Saccharomyces cerevisiae S288C: one gene and its partners. The gene in region 2 interacts genetically with the main gene of each other region. Each region holds a gene or a part of one and is shown on either strand. Other genes may lie near its edges.

What was found.
Region 1: mutations in HSP78 (region 2) and DCS2 together harm fitness more than expected from each alone (negative genetic interaction), as found in Saccharomyces cerevisiae (2 studies listed by BioGRID).
Region 3: mutations in HSP78 (region 2) and DLD3 impair growth when combined (synthetic growth defect), as found in Saccharomyces cerevisiae (one study listed by BioGRID).

The regions. Positions count from the first base shown.
Region 1 is NC_001147.6:655,369-658,902, reverse strand, and holds DCS2 (5'-(N(7)-methyl 5'-triphosphoguanosine)-(mRNA) diphosphatase), read right to left. Parts: upstream 1,640-3,534; coding exon 578-1,639; downstream 1-577. Other genes in the region: MED4 (Med4p), read right to left, coding at 1-156; YRM1 (Yrm1p), read right to left, coding at 2,333-3,534.
Region 2 is NC_001136.10:972,473-976,072, forward strand, and holds the start of HSP78 (chaperone ATPase HSP78), read right to left. Parts: upstream 1,772-3,600; coding exon 1-1,771. Other genes in the region: YAP6 (Yap6p), read right to left, coding at 2,159-3,310. UniProt on the Saccharomyces cerevisiae protein: Required, in concert with mitochondrial Hsp70 (SSC1), for the dissociation, resolubilization and refolding of aggregates of damaged proteins in the mitochondrial matrix after heat stress.
Region 3 is NC_001137.3:14,497-18,336, reverse strand, and holds DLD3 (D-lactate dehydrogenase), read right to left. Parts: upstream 1,983-3,840; coding exon 492-1,982; downstream 1-491. UniProt on the Saccharomyces cerevisiae protein: Catalyzes the reversible oxidation of (R)-2-hydroxyglutarate to 2-oxoglutarate coupled to reduction of pyruvate to (R)-lactate. Can also use oxaloacetate as electron acceptor instead of pyruvate producing (R)-malate.

The DNA of each region.
Region 1 (3,534 bases), on a different chromosome or scaffold from region 2:
TGTATCCTCGTACCGGCACAAATCTTCGTAGAGTTGGACCTTAGATAATTTGTCTTCACTATTCGTGTTTGAAGTAGCCTCTGCTACCAGGGATACAGAGGATGATCTGATGTGACCCATAGAAAACTCTACCGCTTTAGTATCTTGGACAGACATAACATTCGTTGTGTGTACTCTGGAAGTAATTGATACTAGATGCTTTCTCCACCGTTAACAATATACCAGAAAACCTTGTTGAAAACGGGACACGTTATAACTACTTTCCTTCGCGGTATGGTGAGCAGAGAATGCAAAAGTTTATCTTTTTCTCCAGCCTACCTTACGTAGGTGGTAATGCACTATTTTTTCGCATTTCTTTGAAAAGGCTGGCAATACGTCAAAGGCTATGTATGCTATAAGGGAAAGAAAGCTTATACGGAAAATAGCAACTGAATGTACTATGTTACTGTGCATTCGCATTCTATGTTAAAATTCAAAATCCATTGAGATGTATACACAAACATTTAAATAAGACATTTATATAAGCCGGCGCTTCCTGAAGTTCAGCACATGAAAAAATAGTGCTGCTCTTCTACCTTCAACCCAAATTGGTATTGAACCCAGAGCCTTTTTCAGGACTGGTTGCGATACCATCATGCTTCAGTTGCTTTTCAACTTCTTCCTTAAAGCCCTTTTTCCATAAATCATGATTTTCACCAATGACATAAGTAAGCGTCTTCTTCATATAACCTTCAGGACCTAAGAAACCCAACGCTTCTATAACATCTTCCAACAGTATTGTCATTCCGGAGCCTCTCTCCTCGCCTACTCCTGGATGCCTTATATTCACTATATGGACATGAAAATGGTAATATGAAGGTTGATAATGAATGAAAACTCTTAGCTCGTCCGGGTTTACATTATAGTCATAGTGCTGGGGGATGATGGTCTTAATCTTCTTATTGAGTCTAATTAACCAATCTCTATGGTTTGGGTTCAAATCTCTCAAAGATTTGATGTCGTCCCTGTACACGATCGCGACCAGGTATAACGAATCAATGTTGATTCCGTCCCACTTCATATCGGGCAAGATGACGAATCCATCCTCTTTATTCCTGCTACTGTATTCCTTATAAACAACTCTATCATCCTCGGCGCCCTCGTAAAGAATGTTGTTTACCCATTTCATTCTTTCGCTGGTACACATCTCTTGGATAAAGGGCACAACTATGTTTCTATACATATCAGGAGTTTCTCTGACGACATGTAAATCCTGCTGGTCGTATCCCTTGATGTGGAACTGCGAGGCGGGCCAAATTAAGTTAACCTTCGCAGTTGGGTTATGCAAAATATGCTGCTTCAAAACAGACAACCCCCAGTAGTAGATGTCATTCGAAGTTAATTCCTTCAGATCAGTAATACCGTTTAAAAAGGAGTACTCGTCTATTTCACGATGAAAGAAAATCGGAGTGCTACGGCCACTTTGAGAGGGTCTACGTACCGTTTCATCAAATATGAAATGCGTCTTTTCAGCAGTTAACACGGCATCCTTCCCATCTATGCTGCCTAGTAGTGAGATTACCTTTGTATGAGGGTTCGAATCTAACACCCTGACGTATTTAAACCTCCCAATTAAACTAGCTAAATCTTGGGAACCCATCATGTATTTTTTTACTTTTACACGCTCAAATCTTTTCAATTTTGCAATGAAAAGGTACCGACCTAACATATATTTGAAGACCAAACGAAACCCCCGTGCTTCTGTTTCTCTTCTTTCTGCCTTTATACTCATTGGTATTGTCACCCCTTATTTCCCCCCTAGGCGTCTGCGCGGCCGCTGTCATGGGGCTGTCCTTTCGGACTAGCATATAATCACTGACGCTAGCTCTAATCGATCAATAATTAAGTGGAAGTATTTTGTTGAGGTGGGTGATTATTATGGGGAAGATTTTTGACAATCGAATGAACACTTTAACAGCTTTTGGAGGCTAGAGTGCCAGTAAGCTCCATACTTCTTTGGAGTTGATTTCTTTTTCTTGCAGAATAGGTTGGACAAAGTACATCCATCAGAACAATTGCAGGTGCCTTTTGTTCACGCAATTACTGGCTTTTCCTTGTTTGTTTGGTCAAGAAGTTAGTGTTTAGCTTTTTCCCTTCATTTTTTTATTTTTCTTATTTTATAGATGCTTAAATGTCATTTTTGTCTTACTAATCATTAAATAGTTGGTCCGAAAGATAGGTCCAAGCGCAAGTCCAAGCCAATGGCTTGCTCTCGACTGTCTTCCATTACAATATGCAAGTTTTCTATCTAGCTGCTGTCGCAAGCATGTTTTTTTGTAAAAGAACTTCTCCTCTACTGCGTATCAAATAAATATTTATAATCTGGCTGACTCATTAGTTCCTCCCAGCCAAGGTTGTACGCCGTCCAAAATTCGTTGGATATTGTCTGTGCCAGTTCAGTCTCAATTGGCCCAGTTTCATTGTTATGCGAAGCGTTTTCGCTGTTATTTCGCACTTCCTCCGGGGGTAATCCTGGAGAATTTCCCGCCAATGGACTGGCGCTTGTGACGCCCAGGTCACTTAAACTGGGATCGATTGGAGTATTTACATTGTCAGTGAGCGAATAGGACCCATTCAATTCGTCTTGGAGTTGTTGTAACCATGTGTTTTCGACCTCGGTTCTATATTTGATTACTTTTTCCAAAACAGCTCTATATATGCTTTCCAGGGCGATGTTGATAACAAATGTATAAGAGCGAGCCATAATAATTCTTAACTGCTTGTTGTTATCATTAGACCATTTAGCAAATATATCTGAATGTATTTTGAAAGCAGTAAGTAAGTTCATAGCTTTATCCAACGGGATATTCAAGGTTGACAAATCCCAATCTGTGACTTCTTGATCTTTGATGTTGGATGATAGATAATAGCCCTTCTCAAAAAGAGTTAACTTATGATACAAAAACGCACAAAAGCCAGTAGAGGCCCTAGGAAAAAGGAAATTTGTGTATACTAAAGACAAGGCCATAAATGGCGGTAAATGAACGCAATTATGATCAAAAAACTCAGGAAAATGCTTCTCATCTAGGTTAAAACACAGTATGGTCGTATTGATGACAAGGGAAAAAGAGACCAAAATGGTTTGCAGGATGTTGTTCTCTAAAACAACGCTTTTTTCCTTGTAAATCAAATACCTCAAGGAATAAAACGTCAACAACAAATTCAAAACCTGCGCAAGCACTTTAATCTCGCACAAAGGAACTTTAGATATTAACTCACTGTCAGTGTAATATGATATTGGGTGGAATTCAGTCTCTACAAAGTTTCTTAGTTTTTTACAATTTTCGGCTAAGTCTGGAAATGCGCTTCTATCATAAATTTGATCTAGCATTGGTCGAGCTAATCTTAAAAACCTTTTAAGCTTGCCCATGCAGGAATTTGACTGATCGAAAAAAACCGTCGATGAATAATTGTTTGTATTTTTAGGCAACCTCTCACCATTCTCGCATTCATCGACTTGAAAATAGGATGAGTTAATCGCCAAACATCTCCCAA
Region 2 (3,600 bases):
AGACGTAACCTGGAGGTGCACCGATTAAACGAGAGACAGTATGCTTCTCTTGAAATTCTGACATGTCAAAACGAATCACATTTGATTCGTCATCAAATAGGAATTCAGCTAAAGCCTTGGTCAATTCTGTTTTACCAGTACCAGTAGGACCTAAGAACATAAAGCTGGCAATAGGTCTCTTTTCACTGGTCAAACCAGCCCTTTGAAGACGTACAGCATCAGAAATAGCAGCAATGGCCTCGTCTTGGCCAACGACTCTTTCTTTTAAAGAATTTTCCATATACAGTAGGCGGTCCTTGTCGCCTTTCATCACCGTTTCTGTAGGAATACCAGTCATTTTGGCAACAACCTTAGAAATATCGTCAGAAGTAACTGAATCATGAAGTAAATTTACTTTATCTCCGTCCTTACTCTTCTCGCTTAAAGCTACCTTCTTCTCCAAGTCAGGAATTCTGGAATATCGCAACTCGGATGCTTTAGTGTAATCACCCTCTCTCTGACACTTTTCCAACTCAATTCTTGCTTGTTCCAAATTTGCCTTAGCATTTTTGATAGATTCAATTTCAGCTCTTTCAGCGTCCCATATTTTTGTTAATCTGTTTAATTCATCATTTTTCATTTCTAGGTCCTTTTCCAACGCTTCTCTTCTTTCCACGGAAACAGGGTCGGTCTCTTTCTTTAAAGATTCCAGTTCTATTTGTATTTTCATAATAGCACGATCCAGTTTCTGTATTTCATCCGGTTTGGATTCATGTTGTAAACGTAGTACAGCACAAGCTTCGTCAACTAGATCAATGGCTTTATCAGGTAGAAACCTGTCTGTTATATAACGATTTGAAAGAACTGCAGCAGACACTAAAGCTGTATCAGTGATCCTTACACCATGATGAACCTCGTACCTTTCTTTTAAACCTCTTAGTATAGAAATCGTATCGGAGACGCTCGGCTCATTCAATAAGATAGGCTGAAACCTTCTCGATAAAGCCGGATCTTTTTCAATGATTTTGAATTCATCAAGAGTGGTTGCAGAGATACAACGTAGCCCACGGGCCAGTTTTGGCTTTAAGATGTTAGAAGCATCCATACTACCATCAGTTTTACCTAAGCCAAGCAGCATATGAACTTCATCAATGAAAACAATAACCTTACCATTGGCCTTGTCAATTTCTTCTAAAACCTTTTTTAAACGTTCTTCGAATTCACCTCTATATTTGGCGCCAGCAATCAAAGATCCCAAATCCAAAGCTACTAGATCTTTATCTTTCAACGAGTCAGGGACCTCCCCAGCAACAATTCTTTGAGCTAACCCATCAATAAGGGCGGTTTTACCGACACCAGCTCGACCGATCAAACATGGATTATTTTTTGTTCTTCTTGATAAAATTTGAATAGCTCTTGCGATTTCTTCGTCTCTGCCAATGACAGGGTCTAATTTACCGTCGCGCGCTAATTTTGTCAAGTTTGTACCAAATTGTTCTAAAGCTGGCTTTTCCGGTTGCTGATTGGGATCCATCCTCATTTGGACGTACGTTCTTTTGAAATTGGGCAATCCATATGAGCTCTTGAGGGCGCAGGTTGAAATAGCGACTTCATTTAATGCATTTGTTTTTATATCTGATAGAAGTTTATTGGCTACTCGAGGTCTTGCATTAAAACTGCAAATAGATCTTTTACACTGTACAATAGTGTATATTCGTGGAGTACTTCGCCTTAATAGTTGCGTTCTCTGTAAATATTTTTGTATTGGTGCTTTTGTAGCTTGTCTTAACATATTTAACCTTGAAAGATTTTCACTCGCTTGTTTCAGGGTTCCTGGAATAGATAATAGAAGTCAAACTTTTCATGCTTACATATGCATATATATGTATATATATGTGTGTGCGTGAGTCAGTAACTAGGGGGTTTGATGAGCTTAGATACAATGAATCACAGGGGTTTATTCAAAAAAAAAAGTCCGTGCACCCCCTATTCAAACGCGATGCCATTAGATGAAAGAACACTTCTAGAACATTCTGGAAAATAACAAATTTTATCAGAACAGAATCACACCTTGATTTGTCTGTTACATTAATTATTAAAATTTATATGACCTATAAGGCCAAAGCAAAAAGTTGATCTTCCAGTACTAGAGATCAATATCTGCTCCCTATTTATTGTATTACGTGGCACTATCCGAGTGTCTCCCTACTATTTCCTCCAGGGATCTTATTTTTTTTTTTAGTTGCTCTATTTCATCTCGTTGTTCTTGTTCCTTTCTTTTAGTATTTTCAATATCCTCGATCATTCGTATATATTCAGCGTGGAAGCGTTTATTCTCAAGTTTTAGGTTTTCATTTTCATTTCTTGACATGTTGTGTTCATTTTTTATTATACTATTCTCATTCTTCAACATGTTGTTTTCGTTACATAAGACATCATACTCACTTCTTAACATAGTAATTGCATTCCTTATAGCTTCATGCTGAGCTATTAAAATGTTGTTGTCATTTCTTAATGAATCGTTTAATGATTTGAAGTTATTATTTTCTGCTAGTAAATCGTCAAATATCTTTGATTTTTGTTCGAGATTCTTGATGTATTTTTCTTTCCTTTGTCTAAATGCCTTTTGAGCGGTTCTATTTTGAGCAGCTCTTCTAGTATTTCTTAAAGTTTTGCCTGAACTACTTATGAGTTGGGTGTCTTTATCAGGAACAGGTTTGGTTACATTATCATTATTATCATTATTATCAGCTGAATTTTTAGCGGTATCAGCACTGTTTTGAAAAGAAGGAGGTGCAGTAGTAACACTGGTATTGCGAGATGGGAGGGTTGATAGTTGCTCCTCTGCAATATACTCCTTATTCAAAGATATGCTCTGGTTCGGAAGTCCATTTGGTAAAGGGGGATTTATTTGATAAGGTGCATAAGATATGGAATAACTTTTAGGGGGGAATACCACGGAAGGTTGAATACTAACATGAGCATTTTGAGGTCTGTTGTAAGAAGCTGATTGTTTTCTTTCATTTGAATGCGGAGGGATGATATAAGATGGATGTATAGGACTTTGATGCATCGATCTATAGTCAGACGGACCAGATAGATGCATCAAGTTTGGCAAAGGAGGCTGGATAGGATTGCTGTTAACAGATATGTCGGTGTCCCCATTAGTGGTTGTAGGATTTATTCTATAAGGTAACTTTTGGGACGTGCTGGGCTGTGCAATTTGCGGAGAAGGATGCTCATTTAGATTCTTCTCAGAGGCATTATAAGTAGCCATTGAGCTGCTTCCCTGATTATACATATCGGGACGAATCAACGGAGGGTTTTGCATTTGTCCCTTAGCACTCTTCGTTATTCTGTTGTTTATTGAAATTTCTAGACAAAAGTATATGCTATCGGATTCACGATTGGTGGGGAAAAAAACTCGGTGTTACAGTTTGAGGAAAGATTGTGTTTAATATTGGTTCTGTAGTACACTCCACAATCTCTCAACTCGCATTGCTTTCCAAAGATAGTCTACTCTCGATACTACAAGGCTCCACTAACTGTGTTAACAAAATAAACAAAAAAAGAGATTCTCCAGAAATTAAAAACTTGAGAATAAAAAAAGAAATCAAAAGG
Region 3 (3,840 bases), on a different chromosome or scaffold from region 2:
CTTCACTATTTAATAACATACTTGAATAAGTAATTGCGAAGTGTTATTAACTACTACTATAATCTCCGTGTCTCCCTGGATGTTGATCACAAATGAAGAAAAAACTGGACGAGATTTGAGTTTTAATGAGTCCAGATCACTTTAGTACGTGTTTAAAATTGTTGGATTAAGGTTATACCAATACTCATGTCACTACTCCAATTGGATTATGTATAATTATCTAATGTAGTAAAGAAAAAATGGACGAACACTTTTTGAAGTACGCAATCAGGAGATTCCTGGTCGCAGATCTATAGAAAACGAGACCTTTTTCCACAAAAAATGGTCTCTTAGGTTTCTTCACCGAAAATCGTTCAAGAACAACGGCTTAAGATAAATATTTTATGGTATATTAATTTTGATCAATAATAAATTGATAAATACATATATGTAAATCTATAATACTGTAAAGAAAAAGGGTTTGCTCTTTGAAAGTTAAAAATTAACAAAGTTCAAATGTACTTGTATGGGTTTAAGATTCCATTTGGATCGTAGTGATTTTTGATATCCTTCATAAATCTAATTTCAATATCACTTCTGGTGTAGTGTAACTTACCTTTCTTATGGAAACCGATCCCATGCTCAGCACTGATGGAACCTTTCTTTGATGCAATATATTCATAAACAAATGGTTCTAGTAAGTCCTCAATCTGTTTTGTAAATTCTCTTACCGCGATATTTAAATGGATGTTTCCGTCACCGACATGACCATAACCACATGATTTAACAACTGGTTTTGGTGCATCACCAATCAAACCGGCTGCGTTTAATCTCTCCGTCACAGCCGCAGATACGGAATATAAATCTTTCAATTGAAGTGACATGTCATACTTGTACATACCACCGTAAGAATTACAAGCTGTTGGAACAGATTTTCTCCAGGTCCAAAGTCTATCAAAATCGGCTTTGTCCTTAGCCATCATACCCTCCGAAATTAATTTAGAATCTGTGGTATCTTTGAGGAAAGCAGTCAGCTTCTCATCGTCGTGTCTCTTATTGGACCCTGACGTTTCAATAAGAACATAAAAGTTGTGTTGGTTCTCCAGAGGGAAAGGCAAGTCCTTCAAGTATTCTATCGTACATTCAATGGAGCCACGGTCCATGAATTCAAAAGCAGATAAAATCTCAGATAATTCACTTTTAGCCTTGACAAATAATTTCTGAACGGTATCGAAATTCTCAATACCAAAAAATACGGCATTCAAGGCTTTTGGCTTTGCTGCTGCAACTATGGATACACCAGTAACGACACCGATAGTACCCTCTGCACCGATGAATAATTGTTTCAAGTCATAACCAGTATTGTCCTTCCTTAGGGCATTGATATTGCTGATAATCTCACCGTTGGGTAGCACCACTTCCAAACCCAAAACATTACCGTGTAGAGACCCATATCTTAAAAAGTTCAAACCACCTGCATTTGTTGAAACTACACCGCCCACTTGACAGTTGTTTCTAGAAGGCAGATCCAATGGGAAGATATGGTCATGGTCGTGTAAAAATTGATGCGCATCACGCATAACGACACCCGCGTCACACTTGAAAGTCCCGCTAACTGGATCAAAATCTCTGACTTTGTTCATATTTCTTAGAGAAAGAACAATCTCATCAAATACCGGAACAGAGGCTCCGACCAAGTCGGTGTTACCACCTTGTGGTACTACTGCCAACTTTTTATCGTTACAGTATTTCATAATCTTGGACACTTTATCAGTGGAGTTTGGCAAGAGAATTAAATTGGACTGGCCTCTATATTTTTTCATCCAGTCCTGGTTAAACGAAGCAAGCTCTTCTGGAGCTTGAGAGTTTAAGATTTCATCATTTGACAAAATCGAACGAAAGTACGCCAAATCTTCCGAGTCGAGAACTTTGAAATTTGGGTTTCTCTTGACTTTAGGGTATGCCTCGGCAGTTAACTGAGCAACAGGATGTGCGGCCGTCATAATTCTTATATATGCTGTCTTTAAGCCTTGAATCTCAAATGAATAAAATATTGAGGAGCATTTTGGCACCCTGTTCTGCCTCGTCAGTTATATAAGCGAGTGATCACTTATATACTCACAACCTTTCAGTTTCCGCGCGTGACTTAGATTTGGCGGTCACCAACTGTGGCAAGTGGTGTCATCCGCTGGAAATATTTTCCGAACTAAGTCGTCGAAATGGTCATTCTTTTAGATGACTGTGGACAATATCCCGCTTAATGATCACGCACAAAAAAAAAAAAATGAAAAAACATAAAATGCGCCACTCCTGTTGACATTGCAGACAATTTGTTGTGCTTTCTTGACAATTATGTTCCTATAGGAAGCATCTTAGAAATTTAAACAAATGCCAAGTCGGGACGAACGATACTGTAATTATCAAGATGCTCGAGACATTTTGGGTAGATTCTTGCGAAAGGGAAGTAACGTTGGAAGCTGATTAATCTGACCAGGTCAAGCTACTAAAATGCGTCTTTCCTGTTTATGAGTAACTTTCATGCCTATAGAAATATAGTAGTCGCCAACAATCATTTCGATACAACTTGTTCTGTAGAAGCCTTCTATTCATTCAGTAGAATTTGGATCGCAGAGTTCTTACCAAACGTTTCCTTTCATACAGATCTTTGCGAGAAAATTCTTGTTTCTATCACATTAATCTTCTAACCACTTTCATTCGTCAAAACCTGCACTGTACGTATTGTAGAGGCGTTAGCAAGACCAGCGTACTGCACGCCAGGTTAAAATGAACCTATAGTCTTGTTTGACAACAGCGGTTGGCCATTTATATTGTGGCTTTATTCGTATAACTATGATAATGGTTGAACCAACTAGGTTCAACTCTACTATTATGTGTCGATCAGCGGCTCCTTCTATGTATCTTATTCACAATTTTTGAGCCCACATGCTTTCGAATGAGACTTCTATAACAAGTTTTTTAGGTACTTTACATAGCACTTTAAAGAGAAATCAATAGTGGATATAAGGAAAAGTCGTTACGTTCTGTGCTGACAGAAAAATAGTATTTTTAATTACTGAACTGATAGATTCGATTCAACACTTATGATGCTAAAAAGGTCATGAACGAAGTTTGATAGCATTCTATTACTGATTTTCAAATGCTCATTTTGCCGCGAATATTATAGGCCAATAGATTTAAGGTTAAAAAAAAATCATATCAATGGCATTTTAAGGCAACTATATTTTCAGCATTATATTTTACTTTTCCTTTATTTTTTATAAAGTGTCCAGATGGCACCTATTATACAAGCGCAAAATGACATTTGAAAATGTGTGTTAAAATCGCAATTGATCAACTTTAAGGATGATAGAATAAATTGCGTAATTCGTGAACTATAGAAAAGCTTTTTTATTTTGATTTTAGTGAAGGTAAGAAAACATCGATGCTTTATTTCTCTAAGCGCTCTCCAAACTAAGGGGGTTGTAGGAGAATAATAACGTATAGATGAATCACGCTTGATTTGATGGACAATCCCAAAACCATTTGAGATAACTGTAAAGGTTTATATCATAAAACTTTTATAGATGCTACTGCTATAAGTAGTGCAATTTGAATGTTTTTTTTTTTTTTTTTGATGTTACTATGCCGCCAATTATATAATAAATGCAGGAAAATCAACTATATAAATATTGCTAACATGACTTTTATTCGAAAAAAATAAATAAATATAGTGTTTATATTTAGGATTCCTATTCTGTATCCATCTGGAACCTTCAACATTGTAAATAGTGAATATTTATACGCACTTTTTTTTTGGTAGTAAGCACGGTTAGTTATAATTGCAGGAAAACAAGGAACCCA